Macaca mulatta: one gene and its partners. The main gene of each other region encodes a partner of the protein of the gene in region 3 in a complex. Links are inferred from orthologs where the notes say so. Each region holds a gene or a part of one and is shown on either strand. Other genes may lie near its edges.

The links.
Region 1: the proteins of RNH1 (region 3) and RNASE1 are in contact, whole or in part, in a crystal structure (PDB 3TSR), measured with the Mus musculus proteins. The link is inferred for Macaca mulatta from reciprocal best matches to the Homo sapiens genes RNH1 and RNASE1. Residues at the interface, in NP_001165571.1 of Mus musculus: Cys7, Asp32, Thr60, Asn89, Asp117, Glu145, Tyr146, Asn174, Glu202, Trp257, Trp259, Glu283, Ser285, Trp314, Lys316, Glu340, Glu397, Ser401, Asn402, Gln426, Val428, Tyr430, Asp431, Ile432, Tyr433, Trp434, Thr435, Asn436, Glu437, Arg443; in NP_035401.2 of Mus musculus: Arg26, Glu27, Lys32, Gln36, Pro48, Thr49, Gln53, Lys56, Arg57, Met60, Asn62, Gly63, Ser64, Cys65, Lys66, Pro67, Val68, Asn92, Lys94, Asn96, Leu111, Lys112, Gly113, Asn114, Ser115, Lys116, Asp121, Ala134, Glu136, Val143.
Region 2: the proteins of RNH1 (region 3) and RNASE2 are in contact, whole or in part, in a crystal structure (PDB 2BEX), measured with the Homo sapiens proteins. The link is inferred for Macaca mulatta from reciprocal best matches to the Homo sapiens genes RNH1 and RNASE2. Residues at the interface, in NP_002930.2 of Homo sapiens: Gln11, Cys12, Arg34, Asp36, Asp37, Arg64, Ser65, Gln93, Asn94, Asp122, Gln148, Glu150, Tyr151, Thr176, Lys205, Trp262, Trp264, Glu265, Trp319, Lys321, Gln347, Ser349, Asn350, Trp376, Ala378, Asp379, Glu402, Asp404, Asn407, Cys409; in NP_002925.1 of Homo sapiens: Lys28, Trp34, Trp37, Gln41, His42, Ser47, Gln49, Thr51, Asn52, Gln55, Val56, Asn59, Gln61, Arg62, Arg63, Cys64, Lys65, Asn66, Gln67, Ser91, Asn92, Arg95, Asn97, Asn111, Leu112, Thr113, Thr114, Pro115, Asn119, Ile120.

The regions. Positions count from the first base shown.
Region 1 is NC_133412.1:93,648,919-93,655,090, forward strand, and holds RNASE1 (ribonuclease pancreatic precursor), read right to left. Parts: upstream 3,683-6,172; coding exon 3,224-3,682; downstream 1-3,223. UniProt on the Homo sapiens protein: Endonuclease that catalyzes the cleavage of RNA on the 3' side of pyrimidine nucleotides. Acts on single-stranded and double-stranded RNA.
Region 2 is NC_133412.1:93,783,856-93,790,662, reverse strand, and holds RNASE2 (non-secretory ribonuclease), read right to left. Parts: upstream 2,853-6,807; 5' UTR 2,769-2,852; intron 2,562-2,768; 5' UTR 2,556-2,561; coding exon 2,073-2,555; 3' UTR 1,900-2,072; downstream 1-1,899.
Region 3 is NC_133419.1:384,109-390,601, forward strand, and holds the end of RNH1 (ribonuclease inhibitor), read right to left. Parts: coding exon 6,373-6,493; exon of another isoform or gene 4,524-6,372; intron 2,765-4,523; coding exon 2,594-2,764; intron 2,490-2,593; coding exon 2,402-2,489; 3' UTR 2,225-2,401; downstream 1-2,224. UniProt on the Homo sapiens protein: Ribonuclease inhibitor which inhibits RNASE1, RNASE2 and angiogenin (ANG). May play a role in redox homeostasis. Required to inhibit the cytotoxic tRNA ribonuclease activity of ANG in the cytoplasm in absence of stress.

The DNA of each region.
Region 1 (6,172 bases), on a different chromosome or scaffold from region 3:
CCAAAAGCAGTATTAAAGTCTGCTTCCCATGATGGGCGTTGAGATTCAGAGCTCACCTACAGTTCATTCCCACGTGCTCCATGAGGTCTGAATCAGTCTAAAGAGGCAAGAGTGGGAGCTGGGAGCCACCTTTCCTTTCCCAAGTCTAGAGAAAGTTCAGGGTGAGAATACTGATTGAGGAGTAAGAAAGAACCTTATGCAATGATCAGTTACTCTTTTAACTGAACTCATTTCAGGTGTAGACGACTGACCTGTTTTGATGTGTGGTAGCGCTGGGAGGAGGGGGGCTATCTGCTACTAGAATTGAAGGAGGAATTTACCATAGAGAGAGGCTGGAGTGGAGGGAGGACCAGCAGGTCAGAGAGGCAGAAGGTCCTCTAATTTTCTGAGTACACTTTCAGCTGCCAGGGTAAGAAGGAGCTGGTCTGGGCCAGGCGCAGTGGCTCACGCCTGTAATCCCAGCACTTTGGGAGGCCAAGATGGGTGGATCGCAAGGTCAGGAGTTCGAGACCAGCCTGACCAATATGGTGAAACCCCGTCTCTACTAAAAATACAAAAATTAGCCGGGTGTGGTGGCATCCACCTGCAATCCCAGCTACTCGGGAGGCTGAGGTAGAAGAATCATTTGAACCCGGGAGGCGGAGGTTACAGTGAGCCAAGATCACGCCATTGCACTCCAGCCTGGGGACAGAGCGAGACTCCGTCTCAAAAAAAAAAAAAAAAAGAAGAAGAAGAAGCTGATCTGCTGGAGTATATTTACCTCTCCACTGAGAATGCAGAATTTCTTAAGCTTATTTGAAGAATCTTTTGAAAATTAATAGTATCCTTTTCAGAAAAATGACTGGATGTGATCATTTCTGCCTTTATGCAGAGATCCATCTTCATATGTCAGCACCTCGATTTTAAGATTCACCTGCTGGAGTTCATCTCCTAGAAAGTGTTAGCACTACTTTATTTAGGGGGTAACAGTGGCGTCCCCCACAGGTCAGAGATGTCTTATTTGTCCCCAGGTGGCTGTGGTGCTTCTCTCCTTCATTGTGTCTGGTCCTCTCCGAGACCTGGCTTGGTTTCTTCCCCCTCTGCCCCCCTATTCAGGGCTCTGTGCCTCCCCAGAGCCTTCCTGGCTATGCAGGGGTGCACCTGGACACTTCATCTTCACTTACTGCTTTATACCCCAGATGGGGGGCCCCAGGAGTCCTGTGGCAGGGAAGGTGAGAGGAGCCGGAAGCCAGAGCTGGTGAATGTGCAGATATGGAGGAGGCAAAACTCCAAGTGAGTGTTTGTAAAAGCTTCACTAAAGTGTTCTCGTAAGATTAGCAGGAGGAAAAATGAGAAGCTTTGGGGCTAGGAACAAGGGTGAGATAACCTTAAGAAAAAAAATGGATTAAGGAAGACATATTTAGAAACTCGAAGTTTCCTCTTTTTTTGTCCCCCATTCTCACTGCTAATAAGGAATGAGATCCCCATTGCCACAGAAGTGTGGGAATGGACCTTCTCACCTGTAGGTTTCCTTCCTTATGCAGAGCCCCCAGGGCTGAGGATTTACTCTACGTTAGAAAATCACAGCCTCTACCAACATTTATAGATGTAGTATACAACGACAAGGACAGAACTAGTCATGTTGGTTGAAAATAGGGCCTTTCTCTAGTTCTGTGACCTTGTCTGGAGCCAGATGTCACTGTAAACAGGGGATCAAATGTAATGATTAAGTGTCGACAGATGCAAAGGTAGTCTTTCAGTGGCTGTCAGGAAGGGTTGCCAAGAATGGAGTGGACTCACAGGCTAAGTACACTGGGAGCCTGTGAGAGCCCAGCAGCAAGCTCTGGGAGAGAGCCACCGCTCCACAGCACTTAGTGAGGAGGGGAGCTTTCTTCCTGAGTTAGAACAATGGCTTGGAAGTCAGGAAACCTAGGGTCTACTTCCAGCTGAACCACTAACTAGCAACAAGCCATGTGCAAGTCACTGGAAAGGCAGGGGTTACATTTGGTCAGGGATGGCAAATGTGTGGCACACACACCCTTCCCCGTCTTGTGCCTTCATTAGAGGCTCTTGTTCAACCATATCACTGTCCAGAATTTTTTTTCTACAGCATTTTGGGTAGGCACTTCTTTTTTTTTTTTTTTTTTTTTTTTTGAGACAGAGTTTCACTTTTATTGCCCAGGCTGGAGTGAAGCAGCACCATCTCAACTCACTGCAACCTCCGCCTCCCAGGTTCAAGTGATTCTCCTGCCTCAGCCTCCCTAGTAGCTGGATTACAGGCACCCACCACCATGCCCCACTAATTTTTGTATTTTTAGTAGAGATGGGGTTTCACCATGCTGCCCAGGCTGGTCTCGAACTCCTGACCTCAGGTGATCCACCCGCCTCAGCCTCCCAAAATGCTGGGATTACAGGTGTAAGCCACCATGCCCGACCGGCACTTCCAATTAGAGTTGGTACACAAACTGAAATCTACTTGCTATCCCTCAATTCCATGCTCTCCAAAGTCACTTCTAGCTCTAAAATGTAAGATTCTGACTTTCCAACTAAGAGGTGCCCATTTTTCTGATTTAGTAATAGCTTACTCAAAAAAAAAAAAAAAAAAAAGGAGAATGGAAATTTAGGATCATCATTTCATTGACTCCTCTTCCTCATCCTGAGGCTAAGCAGGGTCTTCCTGAGGTTGCACTCACCTTCCTTCTGTGCCACAGAATGACTGTATTTGAGCTTCACCCCTCTGTCAGTTCACCCTGCATGGCAGTGTCCCAGGCTGTTGCTCCCTTTTGTCTAGAACAGCCCACACTTAATAGTTTTAGGTTTGGCATCAAGGAATCTACAAGGAAAGGAATTTTCTCAAGCCACTAAAATCCAAGTCAGAAGGGAAAGCATTTAATTACTTCATTCACCGTTCTCCAAAGCGAATCAGATTTACAGTTCTTGCCCCTTGCTGGAAGCCAATGCCAGAAACAGTACCTAGACAGAACCGCTTCAGAAATCAAGTGCTTGCAACTGTGTTTTATTGAAAGAAAGAGTGGAGGGGTTAACATGGGGCCCACCTCACAACCCACTCTTCACCCCCAAAATCACGCAGGGGTGGGACTCAGGAAAAGGAAGCATGAGTGTGTTGACTAGGAGCCCTAACTGGAGTTACTTCTTTCATAGCAGGGAAGGAAGAGGGAAGAGGGAAGAGGCAGCTGTAGAAAGGATGAGGCTGAGGGAGGTGGGGTATCTCGCTGCTCTGACCTTAGGTTGAGTCCTCCACAGAAGCATCGAAGTGGACTGGCACATGTGGGCTCCCTTCACAGGCCACAATGATGTGTCTCTCCTTCGGGCTGGTCCGGTATGCACAGTTGGGGTACCTGGAGCCGTTTGTCAGGCGGCAGTCTGTGATGTGCATGCTGGACTTGCTCTTGAAGCAGTTGGTCTGCCCGTTCTTGCAGGTGACCTTTTCCTGGAAGCAGACATTCTGGACATCTACCAGGGGCTCATGCACAAAGGTGTTCACTGGTTTGCACCGCCCGTGCGTCATACTCCGGCGCTTCATCATTTGGTTGCAGTAGGTGGAGTTGCTGCTGGGGGAACTGCCTGAGTCCATGTGCTGCCGCTGGAATTTCTTGGCCCGGGATTCCCTGCCCAGGCAGCCCAGCACCAGCAGCACCAGGACAAGCAGAGGGAGCAGGATGACAGACTTATCCAGAGCCATGGGGGCCTCACTTTCCCGGAAAAGCCTAATTGAGAAAAGGAGACAGAAGGAAAAGAGCCCTCTTAGAAAAAGAACTCCACCTCCCACCTATGGCTTCCCTGGCTTACAGTTTCTGTCTCAGGTCAACCAGAAAGATGTCCGTCCCACTTCCTGAGGTTTTTTGTGTAATGAGACACTCACGTGTATCCTTCTCCACAAGCGTTTTATTGCCACTCTCCAAAGCGAGGTCTTTTTCCCGTTTAGGTGGTGACCTACGAAGTGACCTAAAATCCTGTCAGTTTCTATCTTTGAATACTGGTGTTTCTTTGATCCAAAATACATTTGTATCCAGTGCTCAAATGGCTCATCGAAACATCAGTTTGAATAAATCATGAACCAAATTGTATCCCCAACATCTAGGACCATGGGTGACAGAGTCTTGTTGTCTTACAGCATAAGGGAACTCAGGCCAGTGCCTGACACTGGCCTCATAAAGGATTCCGTTGTATTCCAAAGAGAAATGCTGGCTTCCCCCAACTTGAGGGCTCCTTCTTTTCCAGTTCCATGGATGCTCTGCAGCCTGCACGTTCCACCCCGACCCCTCTGCCTCCAGCTGATGTTTGCCTGGACCACATTTTTTCAGCGCTAGCATCATCCAAGCTTTCTCAGTGCTGTGGACTGGCCCTAGCTTCTTCCTCTCCAACCCTGAAGCAGAAGCGGCACCTGAGAACACCTCTTGGACTGCTTACCTGGATCTGCAGCTTGGTGTCTGAGAGAGATGGAAGGCCAGTTTCTGCAGTCACTAAGCTCCTGGGGTATGGACCTTATACAGATTACAAAGGGGTTTGGCTTCCAAGAGGAAAAGGGTGGGAGGAGCATATCGAACTCAGTTGAAATAAAATCAAGGACGTGAGGAAGGAGTGGTGAATCTCCCAGGCCACCATCTTTCCAGGGCTGCTGAAGAAAGAGCAAATCTTTGCCTACATTAGTCTTTCCTCCTATGTAAACCACATCTGTCTGCTGATGCACAAGGAGCAGCAGAGAAAGCCACTACAGCACTGGTGCCCAAACCTGACACACTAGGGACAAAGTCCTTGTTACTTCTTCGTGGGCCGTTTTCACCAAGTAGACTTGGAGGTTAACAAAGGACGCAAAAGGTGATCACGGGAAAGGGAGGCCCTCTCCTCAGGAGAGGTACTGATGGGAGATGTGGAATTCTGGCCAAGGCTATTCCAGGGCTCCTAGGGAGCAAAACCCAAGTCTCTTTTTAGGAGGGTATTCTCCCAACAGTACCTCTCCCGGGGGTGGAAGGTGGGGTCGGGGGGAATGGAGGCGGTCCTGCTGCCCCCAGCTGGAAGGCTTCCCAGATCTGGAGAAGAAACGGGGAGTAACTGAATAGGGAGGAGGAGGAGGCTTCTAGGGTGAGCTCACCCAGTTCTGGTCACTTCCCGCCCACCCTCCTCCCCCTGCTCTGGGGGCATCAAGAGGATGGAGCTGTTCTTATCTACTGATCAGAACCACTGGTAGGTGGGAATTGAGTAGAGAAACTGAAGATAAACTTAAATCCCAAATCTCAAATTCTTTTTGGGTAAAAAATACAAAGCATATCATATTTGTTAGCAGCAGAATGCACTCCTAGAAAGAGACCTGTCCTTTTGCTGAGTAACAATTTGGATACCTGTGGAGTAAGAATTATCAAAATATCCCTTCGTGCTCTGTATTCAGACTGTTTCAGCCTTTCTGTGTAAAAAGTGGCCATGGTGAAATTATCTGACCTACGTTGTGTGGTTGTAGGTCATAAGATCCTCATTCCAAAGGAGGTCCTGCCCCCCATACCCAGAAAAAAGAACGAATGCTCAGGGAGGCCAAGAAGAATCTAGACAGGGAGGCCTTGCTGGGTTTCCCCACTCAGTCTATTTTCATTAGATCTCACCCCTGTTGTCCAATCACATTTCTACACAGCTGTTCATACTTTGTTGATACCTAAGTGTAAAAATGCCCACTTTCCCCTCTATCTTTGGGTCTTCTGAAGGCCCCCGTGTTGTGTTAAGGAAGGAGACCACTACTACTCCTGCTGCCCTCCTCCCCCCACCTTGCCTAGTTCACAAGACAGGAAGAAACAGACAAAGAAACAAAAGAAAGATAAACAGCCAGACAACCTTGGCACCACCACCCGACCCTAGGAGTTAAAAAAAGTAATAATAATAACATCAACCCCTGACCTAAACTGCTTGTGTTATCTGTAAATTCCAGACACTGTATGAAAAAAGCATTGTAAAACTTTTTGTTCTGTTAGCTGATGCATGTAGCCCCCAGTCACGTTTCCCACGCTTGCTCAGTTTATCACGACCCTTTCACGTGGACTCCTTAAGGTTGTAAGCCTTTAAAAAGGCCAAGTATTTCTTTTTCGGGGAGCTCAGCTCTTAAGATGCAAGTCTGCTGATGCTCCCGGCCGAATAAAAAACCTCTTCCTTCTTTAATCCCGTGTCTGAGGAGTTTTGTCTGCGGTTC
Region 2 (6,807 bases), on a different chromosome or scaffold from region 3:
TGAGGAGAGACTTCAATACAGCTGCTGTCTGGTGCCAATGAGAGTCACTATTACTGACATGGAGTCATCTGAGGAATGGAAATTGCTGTTTCTGAGGGTCTAGAAGAGGAGCAGAAATATAGAAGTCAGAAATTTCAGACTGAAGGACCAAGGTGCAGATCTGATGACGTGGTATCTCTGTTGTATTGTGACTCAGGCCATCCAAAAAGACCCACTCTGTCCCCGGCACAATCATCTGAGTGCTGCACCTGTCCACAGCTTGCAAGAAAGGGCTTCCCCTTCCTGTTTCTCATGGATTCCTGAGTGAAGCCCTGTAATGGAGGCCAGGGCAAGGGCTCTTATTATCCATTTCTTCTCTCTCTGGGTCTACAAATCCCTACTTCTTGAGGCTGTGCCCTTCCTGACAGGTGTTGAATGAACCCTTTGACTCACCATTGCGGATAGCTATGGAGGGCAGAATGGGCAGGAGTCATCTCACCTTCATGAGTGTTCCCACTTCCGCGTCCTCCTCTTTCCCCTTCCCCTTCCCATGTGACCAGCGGCTCCCCATCTCCAGGACATGGAAGTTTTGGGAAAGATGCCCATCTCTCTTCCAGGCGGTATTACAATCTGTCCCTATTGCTGTCTGAACAATTTATCTTATTGCACATTTGACTCAAACCCTGGATCCACGTCTAGTACAATTGCTAATAGCTGGAGATTTGATGTGCTCATTTAAAAGGAATATCTCTGAGGCTAAACTTTTTTAAAAATCTTGATTTCACCTTATTTATAGCATTCTTGACTTTTTCTACTTTCTGTTTTTGTGTTTTCTATCATAACGTTCAATCCTATCAAAATTTATCATTCATAAATCATAATGAAACACGTGCATTTTCAGCTTATTCACTGCAGCTCCTATATATCTTGGGATATAAATCATGTCAATAAAAACCAAACTTATACCATAAAGCATCAAATGGGACCTCAGTATCAAATTGGGCTCAATGGTGAAATACAACTAAAACAAGTGGAGATCTAGAGTCAAGTTATAGGTTGGTGTGTGGGGAGGGGTCAGCGGATGGAAAATTGCCTAGAGGAGATATCAAGACTAGGGAGACCAATGCTAGGTTGATGTAATTGGATTTTTGGTTTTTTTTGAAGTCAGGCCAGGAATCAGGTATCACATGGAGAATGATGGGGGAATTAAGGAATTTGGACAAATATTGAGGATGAGAGATTCATGACAAACCAAGTTAGGAGGACTTCTGTAAAACCTAACTTTAGGTCTGGTACTGGTGGCTCATGCCTCTGATCCCAGCATGGTGGGAGGCTGAGGAGGGTGGATTGCCTAAGGTCAGAAGTTGGAGACCAGCCTGGCCAACATGTTGAAACCCACTCTCTAAAAATTACAAAAATTGGCTGGATGTGATGGCACGTACCTGTAACCCCAGCTACTTGGGAGACTGAGGAAGGAGAATCGCTTGAACCTGGAAGGTGGAGTTTGGAGTGAGCCGAGATCTCGCCACTGCACTCCAATCTGGGCAACAGAGCGAGACTCTGTCTCAAAAAAAAAAAAAAAGAATAAAAATAAAAGTAATTATAAATGATTCTACAAGGAAGGACTAGTAAGTCCAACAGGATGACCTAGTTATGATGAGGGTTCAGAGGAGATGACTAAAGCTTGATCAAAGCAAGAGTCTTCGACAGTTGGTCGATATCAGTTGTGACCTCAGCTTCTCAACCTAAAGCAGGGAGAGGGATAAGTCTGTGCTACTTCATGACAGAAAGAGTCTCTTATCCTCAAATCTCTATTTCCCACAAGTCTCAGGTTAGAGGAAAGAAAAATTTCTGGAGTAGATTGTCACTAAATGACAGCAGAGTGGCCAAAGAAGACACACAGACACTTCCAGATGAATTTGCAAAGCAGTTTATTGCAGGGTTCACAAGGGACTTCAGCTCAGGAAACCTGAAGGGGTATGGATACTGATGAGGACAGATGCTGATACCCAGGGTACATGGAGGGATGGGATCTTGGCTATGATTGAGGAGCTTGGCAGATGAGTGATGATGAGGAGTGCTGATACAGGAGCTTAGATGACTCTATCCAAGTGAACTGGAACCACTGGATACTGTGGAGGGTCCCGTACTGGATCGCTGTTGTTACATGCAACTATGTAGTACTTGTTTGCTGTTGTCTGTGTATACCTGCAATTTGAAATCCTTCGACTTGGAGTTGTGAGGTTACAGTGGATTAAAGGCACCTGGACTCCACTATGATGACAATTGTTGAGACTTGTGTTGCTAGGGCAGGGCATGCTTGGGTTACCACAGACATGAACTACATCAGCAAAAGTTGTAAGAAGAAAAGTATTTTGATTTTTGCATCGCTGTTGATAATTGTTAATTACCGGCATTGCATTGGTGCATTGGCCAGAGGTCATATTTATATGCTGGATTTCAAACCACTGAGCCCAGGTAAATTGTCCGGGTTTGGCATGAAGTGAGCCTTCCACACCCATAAGCCCCAACAGAAGAAGCAGACAAATTGGGGACGTGAACAGTTTTGGAACCATGTTTTCCTGTGAGAAAAGAAGAGAAGTAACTACTCCCCCATCCGGTGTCTCACCCCACAGGCCCCTCTGCTGCCACTCTGGGGTCCCATTTCCTTTTTCTTCCTGTCCCCAAAGTGGGCCACATCTCCTAAGCACTAAGTTCAGCCCACCTCTTCCTCAGGTGCTGCCCGGTCGCTGCCCCTCCTGTCCCAGCTCTGGGGATTGCTGACTTACCCAGTCTCCGCGCTGCGGCTCCTGTGAGAACTGATCCAGCTGGTTGTTCTGGCCTTCAGGGGCAACTGTTCTTCCCTACTTGGAACTGTTTAAATAAAGCATCTCCTGGTGTGTTGGGCCAGCAGAGCCAGGAGGGAGGGTCTGACTCTTGGCCTTGTAGAAACCCACAGATTGGTACATAGTCCGCTTGTGCAATCAGATTTTTTTTTTTTTTTTTTGAGATGGAGTCTCGCTCTGTCGCCCAGGCTGGAGTGCAGTGGCCAGATCTCAACTCACTGCAAGCTCTGCCTCCCCGGTTTACGCCATTCTCCTGCCTCAGCCTCCTGAGTAGCTGGGACTACAGGCGCCCGCCACCTCGCTCGGCTAGTTTTTTGTATTTTTTAGTAGAGACGGGGTTTCACCATGTTAGCCAGGATGGTCTCGATCTCCTGACCTCGTGATCCGCCCATCTTGGCCTCCCAAAGTGCTGGGATTACAGGCTTGAGCCACCGGGCCTGGCCCATCAATCAGCCTTTTTATTTGATAACTTGGCTGAGCAATGGATACCCAAGGATAGCCCTGCTGCTCTTTCTGCTATGAGGACTCTAATTCCAAGTCATTCTGTGTAAGACAGAGTTTTGCTGGTTGGATCTGGACTCTGGATGAAAACTATATGTTGCCTGCAGAATGACCACAGATTTTGTAACTGTCCTCTGGCAGGCCCCTAAATGACCAAAGTGCACGAAGGCAGGGCATAGTAGTTAGAACAAATAGAGCCACAGAGGGCTGTTTGCCCAGGAGGAAGCCAGCTTGCCTTTCATTGTTAGTAATATCCTTGGTTCTCTCTCACACAAATGCTCTCCATCTCATCCACCACTCTTTGCTGGAAACTTGAGCTATTAACTTCTTGAGACACAAGATTCTGTAGATTATTAAAACAATCTGCTTCACATATTTGAGGGTTTTCCTTTTCTCCTCTTGCATTGGATTCACTTTCTTTTAAGTCTTGCTCTCATTATTGCTTCCACTTTGTGTAAAGTTACACAACCTAAAAATACACTGAGGAAAGTCGTAAAATCTGGGAGAGAATGAATGAACATTTGGTGTCATGAAAGATTCCAGCCTAGCACTTGGTATTCCTGTGTTCTTTTCAGCCTATGGTATTTTCTACAAAACAGTGTGTTCTGGGGTTGTCATTCATCTTCCTGATAAGTTTCATTTTGTGATATTAACAAGAAAATGGTTCTGTATTTACAAAATGAACATTTAAGGACAGAGCACTGTGTTCCTGAAAGTACAGAAATCAAATGTACAGTTTGATACACAAAGCATACACTTATTCTTGGCCCTCAGAGAAACACAGGAAGGTAATTGTAGACATATAATTGAATTACAGTGTGAGAGAGGTAATTGCACTTGTGTGAACATGATTTCATGGGGACACTGAGGGTGAAGGAAATCACTTGGCTTGAGGGACAAGGAAGAGTTAAAAAAAAAGTTTCATTGCAGCAGGGTCCTAAGGTAAAAGCAGGGGGTTTTCAGGGGCTTTCGGGAAGAGATGAACATTCTGGGCATGTGGGGAGATTGTATGGAGGTGGGAAGTGAATTGCAGGGGTAAGTCGTGGGTACTAAGAGATGTTAAATCTGGTGGTCTAGCTTTGAGATTAGAAAATTGAAATTAGATCCTTAAATGATATCATATACTTTCCAACCATTAATCTGCATAATTTTTGCTACCATCCAATTTTCCTGTCATTTAGAAATGCAGTAATTTTATCACTGGAGTCCCTAGGTAAATGTGGACACAAAGGGGACCTGGCGAGGACTCAATGTGCAGCTAATAGTGTTCTGCCTTGAAGTCCTGCTCTGGCCGACAGTCATTAGCAGCTTTATCATGAGGCGAGTTTGTTTTTTCATGTATATTGTGTGGAGATCATTTTTGTAGGTGATGAGAATGTAAAGGTGAATGATACGTAGAGTATCCCCTCTGTGATGCTGACAGTCACACTGGGTAGAAAGATTTGCACTCAAGTGTCTATAGTATGAGGCAAAAGACAGAGACCGCAGCCCCAGGGCATGTACTTGACTAAACAGTGTTTCTTTTCAGCCTACACAGTGCTATTTATAATGTTTGGTTTGGAAGATAACGTTTGACATTGGAATAGTTCACTAAAAGTTTTCATCACTGTCTTATCTTTAAAAATCGCATGATGTTGATTGGTGCACTGTGTCTCCATTACTGTGTTGTATCAATTAGAGCTGAGTAAAGCTCCATCTGTGGAAAGGGCTCTAGCTCAGGGCTGTTCTCTGACTCCATCTCTGCCTCTTGACTTTCATCTTGTCTGTTCAGTAATGTCACCTGCCTGGCTCCTGGAGACATCTGTGCTTATGACGCATCTGACTTGTTGCAGTGTCTTAAGAAATAACTCAGACCATAACCTGCCCAATTTGCAACCATATTTATCCTTTAATATTGTGTATGTGTTTTTTTTTTGTTGTTGTTGTTTTTGAGACGAAGTCTTGCTATTGTCACCCGGATGGAGTGCAGTGGAGGGATCTTGGCCCACTGCAACCTCTGCCTCCTGAGTTCAAGCGATTCTCCTGCCTCAGCATCTCAAGTAGCTGGGATTACAGGCACCCACCACAATGCCCGGCTAATTTTTGTATTTGTTATAGAGACAGGGTTTCACCATGTTGGCCAGGCTGGTCTCAAACTCCTGACCTCAGGCAATCCGCCCCCCTCACCTTCCCAAAGTGCTGGGATTATAGGCATGAGCCACCACTCCCGACTACTGAAATTGTATTCAGCACATGCTCATGAGATTTTTCTGATTCTCCCTTGCATAGATTTCCTGTGTACACTTCCAACTACCTTCATTTGCCTGCAGAACTAGTAGAAATGATCTACTTTGGTATTTACGACCTTTGGGAGAAGACTGTTTTATACGAAGCAGGAATAAAGTATAAGCCAATGTTAAACAAAATTCTCTGTAACTTCAGCATGATTTTGTCTTTAACAGACACGAGCCACATCTCCCGGGTTCTTTACTTTATTAGATTAACTTGTCTTAGAGCCTAATTTAATGACACATTTTCAGACCCAATCCATACTTCCAGTGAGAGTAGTAGTCAGAATTATGTCCCAGTATTAAGTCCCTTTTTTGGAAACCGATGAATATTCTAAAATACTGTCCCAGACAAAGACTGTTTATGGTAAAAAACCACTGTTGAGTACACTGGATTAATCAATGTCTTTTTTGCATAGCATTTATGTGCAAAATTATAATGTTTAATGCTTTTAATTACTTCAGCCCCAGGGTACCCTTGTAATATTTGCTCTTAACCTGCTGATAGGGAGGTACCAAACCATCAATACCTTCCTGCACACAGATTTCCCTAATGCAGCAGTGGCTATCTATGGGAAAGACAATGCACACTATTTACTACGTTGGTGCAAAAGTAATTGCAATTTTTGCCATTAAAAGTAATACAAGATTTCCATAATAATATGGTGCAGGTTAATTAAATTGCACTAAATAGAGTAATATTTAACTTACCTAAGTTCTAAAGATATTTGGTGTATGGAGCTCTTCCTGGTCTCTTGAACCTCAGAAAGGTAGCCCTAGGCCTTCCCGCTTCCATGGGGCTTCCTGCATATCTCCTCTGAAAGCCATTGAATAAGTAGATCTGACCCCTTTGGTTAAGTTTCTGGCATGAAAGAGGAAAGGACTAAGCCTTTCTTCTTTTTCCTCAACTATAACAAGTCTTTACTTCTCTGGAAAGGGAAGAAATGGAAATAGAGCTCAGATGGAATTACAGAGAGGTGTGTCTTAGGAGGTATGAAACAAAGTGTGTTTCCTAAGAAATAGGAAAATTGCATTCATGTCCCATTGCATATTTCAAAAATCTTTCTCTCTCTTTCTCTTTCTTTCTTTCTTTCTTTCTTTCTTTCTTTCTTTCTTTCTTTCTTTCTTTCTTTCTTTCTTTCTTCCTTCCTTCCTTCCTTCCTTCCTTCCTTCCTTCCTTCCTTCCCTTCCTTCCCTTCCCTCCCTTCCTTCCT
Region 3 (6,493 bases):
CAGGGGGGAGGTAAGGGGTGTCGGTGGCTGGTTGGACACAGCCTGAGGGGACTCCAGGAGCCAGATGCACCCACACTGCCTGCTCTGCCTCAGGGCCCCAGGCTTTAAACAGCTTTACTTTTTTTCTTTGACTACTTTTGGGGAAATTTTCAACCCCTGTATGTCAAGGCTCACATGAGAGCAGCCTCCCGGGCTCGGCAGGAAGATGTCCTGTGTGGCCACCACGCCCGGTGCCCAGCAAATCCCTTTTCCAGTCACAGCTACTCACAGCTTTGGCCTCTGCGGCCCTGCCCTGTGCGGCAGGACACACGGGGCCTCAGCATCTGCTCTTTGCAGGTGGCAGCTTTGACCCCTCAGGAGGAACTCCCCACTGTGGGGGCCCCTCTCCCCCCCTCACTCCTGTGGGACCCCACTGTCACTCCACCCGTGCTCTGCATCCCCCTGATGCTCTGAGCCCCGTGGCGGCTGGTGGCGTGGTGGCAGGCGGGGGTGACGGTGGCGGCCGGCGGGGGTGGCGGCCGGCGGGGGTGACGGCAGGCGGGGGTGGCGGCCGGCGGGGGTGGCAGGCGGGGGTGACGGTGGCGGCCGGCGGGGGTGGCGGCCGGCGGGGGTGACGGCCGGCGGGGGTGGCGGCCGGCGGGGGTGACGGTGGCGGCCGGCGGGGGTGGCGGCCGGCGGGGGTGGCGGCCGGCGGGGTGACGGCCGGCGGGGGTGGCGGCCGGCGGGGGTGACGGCAGGCGGGGGTGGCGGTCTGCTCGTGGTCACCGTCTGCTCTTCCCAAGGAGCAGGACGAGGCGGGGCTTGCGATGAGTCCTGTGTTCAGGCGCCCGCCGTGTCCCAAAGGCGGCCCCTGGGAGCCTTTCCGGCAGCAACTCAACCCCAGACAGCGCCCAAGGGCTCTGGTTCCCCACACACCGAGATGCTCCGAACTCACCTTGGGCATCTCTTGCCCCAGGCCTGGCATCACCCATGTCCCCAAGGAGCCCTGTTCCCCTGACTAGGGGGGTCATAGTTAGTTTCTAAGATCCTGGGTCATTTTTTAATGTAGTATGTATGTATATATGTATGTATGTGTGTGTGTTTGAGACGGAGTCTTGCTCTGTTGCTGGAGTGCACTGGCGCAATCTCAGTTCACTGCAACCTCCACCTCCCAGGTTCAAGCCATTCTCGTGCCTCAGCCTCCCAAGTAGCTGGGATTACAGGCATGGCCACCACGCCCAGCTAAATTTTGTATTTCTAGTACAGACAGGGTTTCATCACGTTGGCCAGGCTGGTCTCGAACTCCCGACCTCAAGAGTTCCCGACCTGATCCACCCACCTCAGCCTCCCAAAGTGCTGGGATTACAGGCAGGCGTGAGCCACTGTGCCCGGCCTCCGCACCCAGCCCCTGGGTCGCTTTAAAGGGCTTTATTGGGCCGGGTGCGATGGCTCACACCAGTAATACCCAAGACCAAACACCAGCCTGGGCAACATGGCAAGACCCTGTCTCTACAAAAAATACAAAAATTAGCCAGGTGTGGGGGTGCACGCCTGTAGTCCCAGCTACCTGGGAGGCTGAGGTGGGAGGACGGTTTGAGTCCCGGAGGTCGAGGCTGCAGTGAGCCGAGATCGCACCACTGCACTCCCACCTGGATGAGTGAGAGACCTTGTCCAAAAAAGGGGGGTTGCCGGGGAACTTCTTTGCAATGAATTTGTAGTTGCTGACTCAGCATCAGACCTTTGAAAGCTGACAAGCGTCCCCCCTCTTGGCTTGGCAGGGCAGGGCACCCCGGGCTGGCCCACCTTGATCAGCTGCCCACCCGTGGGCAAGATGGGCTGCCCCTGAGGATGGGCCCCACCGTCCCACACAGAGCTGCAGACAAAGCTGGGGCAAGAACTGGGCTCCAGGCAGGACCCCAGGTCGGGCTGCGCTGGGCAGTGCTGGGAGCTCCTGAGGCTCCAGGGTGGAAGCTGTGGGAGTGCTGGGCCTGTGGGCAGCTCCCAGCAGGCGTCACCCTGCACAGGCAGAACCAAGGGGCATCCCCCACCCCAGGCAGGGCCTGCCCTTTGCTCCCCAGTGTGGGTGGGGTACGGCTCACAGGACCCAGCTGAGCACAGCCAGGGCCTTGGGCTGCTTCCCTGGTGCAGGTCCCTTAGGCAGTGAGAAACCCATGCCACGTGAGGTGGTGTCGTCTCTGATGCCAGCACAACTCGCAGGGACCCCAGGAAGGACAAGAGCCCCTCCTGCCAAGAAAGTGCTTTAATGGTTTATAAAGTGTCCAAAATATACTGGCAAAAATAAGCGGATCTGAGCGTTTCTCTTCAAACCTAGGATATGCAGGGCGAGGACGTGGCAGGGGCTGGTCAGCCCCAGGGGTGCCTCGAAGCCGGTCGTCCAGGGAGAGCAGCGGCAGGAAGCGCCTCAGGAGATGACCCTCAGGGATGGCTTCTCCTCCTCCAGGGCCTGCAGCCGGTCCTCCATCGCCTCGGACCAGTAAATGTCGTACAGGCTGCACAGAGGCCAGAAGGGAGGCATGGGTCTGTGTCCTCCCCAACCCCCGCCTTCCTCCCTGGGCAGCCCTGGCCACACCACCCGCCCAACGCGTCCACATACACCAGCTGCTCCAGGAGGCAGCCCGGCTGCCGGACACTCTCCACCAGCTGCAGGACGCCCGCGTCCCCCAGGCAGTTGTTGCTGAGGTCCAGCTCGCGCAGGCTATGGTTGGCCAACAGGGTCGCGGCAAGGCTGCTGCAGCTGCTGTCACTCATATCACAGTCGCCAAGCCTGGGTGGAGCAGGGTGGGGGTCAGGGTGCGGGGCGTGCCTGGCACCACATGACCAGCCGAGCAGCCTGGGCCTGGGGGGTGCGATGGAGGCCCACGCCGTGAAGCCCAAGGACCGACGGACACCTGTGCTCGGCAACTCGGGACCCTCAGGTGGGGCCGTCCCCAAGGCTCAGCCTTGGCAGCTTGTCTCACTGTCCCTCTATGGCCCTGGGCAGGTTCCCCACCACAGACAAAGGCCACACAGACAAGTGGGGCACGGCAGCCTGACATCTGAGACCTTCCGCAGGGAGGAGAAAGGACAGGAGGGAGATGCCGTCCACCCAGAGAGCCACACCCACCCCCTTGCCTCTCCTCGGGGTGGGCTTCAGAGGAGAAGCCAGCCAGAGGCCAAAGGGCAGCTGTGGGGAAACGAGGGTATGGAGACCACCAAGAAAGGCACAGAGTGGACAACAGACTTGAGGTTCCAGAGAGTAACGAGGGTACAGGCCAGACAAGAGGGTGGAGGAGACAAGACCCGACACCCACTTCCCGGGGTGGAGCCGCCACAGGCCGGACAGCAAGGCCAAGGAGTTATGCTGGGCCTCTCCAAAGTGGGGGCCAGAGAAGCTGCAGGACCCCCACCCTGTGCGGTGGCTCAGGGGGAACCAGTCTGCAGTGAGCAGGACCCAAGGTTCCTCTCCACACCTGGAACACCCACAAGGTCCTGACAGCCAGGATGGTGTCCCTTGGCAGGGAACTGGAAATCCCCCAGCAGGAGAAAGCCCTCGGGAAACAGCCATGACTCAGTCTGCAGGACCCCCTGTCCAGCATGACTTAGCCTGCAGGGCCCACTGTCCAGGGCTCCGAGGCCTCACTCAGAACCTGGTGCCCAGCCCAGGATGACCAGCCACCCATGGAAAGCCCCTGGCAAGAGGCACACGGGAAATAGCAAACAAAAGACAAAACACTGAGGATGGAAATTCAGTAGACTGGCTGGTAAATGAGAACATCTCCCAAAAATAAAACATCGAAGAGAAAGAAAATTTGGAGAGCACAATTAGAGGGCCAGTCCACAAGACATCAGGACAGGCTCATGGGCACACCAAAGAGAAAGGGAAGAAAAGAGAGAAAAAAAATCAGCAAAGGCATATTTTCTTAGAACCAAGTATCCAGCACAGTCAAAGAACAAGACCCACATCAAAGCCAAGCACATGGAACCCCGAACACAATGGACAAAGAAATCTGGAAAAACTGCTGAGAAAAAGCAGATCATACGCACAAGATCACAGTGGCTCATGCCTGTAATCCCAGCACTTTGGGAGGCTGAGGCAGGCAGATCATTTGAGGTCAGGAGTTCAAGACCAGCCTGCCCAACATGGTGAAACCCCATCTCTACTAAAAATAAAAAAATTAGGCCGGGCATGGTGGCTCACTCCTGTAATCCCAGCTCTTTGGGAGGCCAAGGCAGGTGGATCACGGGTCAGGAGATCGAGACCATCCTGGCTAACATGGTGACACCCTGTCTCTACTAAAAATGCAAAAAATTAGCCAGGCGAGGTGGCAGCGCCTCTAGTCCCAGCTACTCGGGAGGCTGAGACGAGAATGGCGTGAACCCGGGAGGCGGAGCTTGCAGTGAGCCCAGATCGTGCCACTGCACTCCAGCCTGGGCGACAGAGCAAGACTGTCTCAAAAAAAAAAAAAGCTGGGCACAGTGGCACACGCTATACCCAGCTAAATGATCCAAGGGCAGAGCAGGGGCACAAGGCCTCCAAAAATTACCTTCTGCAGAAACATTTCTCAGGAAGCTGCAAGAAAACGTCCTTCAACAAAGGGAGGAAATCCGGAAAGACATCCTGACCCGGAAAGACATCCTGACCTGGAAAGACATCCAGAGCCGGGCAGGGTTCCCGCGCGGGAGGAAGGTGGGCGGGGCTTCCAGGAAGATGGACCACAGGGTGGCCAGGGAGGCTAGAGCCGCATAAAGCTCTCAGGTTTCATGAACTATGACCTCTTTCAAAGCTAAAAAGAGAACTCAAAGTGGTGCCACCACCCTGCCTTGCCCAGCACATGAACATGCATGCTCGCTCTCACCCATGTACTCATGCACACGCACACTCGTGCTGACACGTGCTCTCACACACTAATGCTCACTCTCACCCATGTGCTCCCACACATGGACAGTCGTGCTCACACTCATGTTCTCACACACAGACACGCACGCTCACTCTTGCCTGTGTGCTCATTCTTGCTGTGCTCATACACACACTCATGCTCACAGACACGTGCTCACTCTCGCCCATGTGCTCCCACATGGACAGTCGTGCTCACACTCATGTTCTCACACACGGACACTCATGCTCACTCTCACCCATGTGCTGACACAATCATGCTTACACGTGCTCACATGGACACTCGTGCTCACTCTTCGCCCATGTGCTCAATCATGCTCACATGCTCCCAGACATGTATGCTCACTCTCGCTCGTGCTCGTACGTGTTCACACACGTGCTCTCACCCATGTGCTCATACACGGACACTCATGCTCACACACACGGAGTCGTGCTCACTCATGTTCTCACACACGGACACTCATGCTCACTCTCACCCATGTGCTCAATCATGCTCACACGTGATCGCATGGACACTTGTGCTCATACTCGCTTGTGCTCACACACTCATGCTCACGTGCTCACTCGTGCTCTCACCCATGTGCTCACTCTCGTGCTCACACACACGGACACGTGGCTCACTCTCGCCCATGTGTTCACACACACGGGCAGTCATGCCCACACGTTCTCACACACGGACACTCGTGCTCACACATACGAACACTTGTGCTCACTCTTGCCCATGTGCTCACACAGTTGTGCTCATACATTCTCACACGGACACTCCTCTGGCTCGTGCTCACACACACGGACACTCATGCTCACATGCTCACACAGACACGTCCTCACTCTCGCTCGTGCTCACACGTACACTTGCTCACTCTCGCCCATGTGCTCAGACACGCTCATACACACTAGTGCTCTCACCCATGTGCTCACACACGGACACTCGTGCTCACACGTGCTCACACGGATACTCGTGCTCACCCATGTACTCACACACGGACACTCATGCTCACTCTCGCCCATGTGGTCACATGAACACTCGTTCGCATGCCCATGTGCTCACACAAACGGACATTTGTGCTCACACGGGCTCACTCTCACCCATGTGATTTCACAGACACACATGCTCACACTGTGCTCACACTCACAGACACTGCTCATTCTCGCCCATGTGCTCACACACACGGACACTCGGGCTCACACATGCTCACATTCATGGACACTCGTGCTCACACATGCTCACATGGACACTTGTGCTCTCTTGCCCATGTGCTCACAGACACCCATGCTCACACACACGTGCTCACATACGCCTCACCCATGTGCACACTCATGCTCACACACTCGTGCTCACACCCACATGTGCTCACACACGGACACTTGCGCTCACTCTCACCCATGTGCTCGCACACATGGACACTCGTGCTCACACAGACACTGCTCACTCGCCCATGTGCTCACACACGTGCACATGACCTCCCAAATATGTGTACTCGTGTCCCTCTCACACTCACCAGAGCACCCGCAGCACGGAGCCGGGCTGGCCCAAGCCCTTGCAGAGTTCCTGCACGCCCGCGTCCCCCAGCCTGTTGTTGCTTATCTGCAGCTCCAGGAGAAATTTATTCTGGGTCAGCA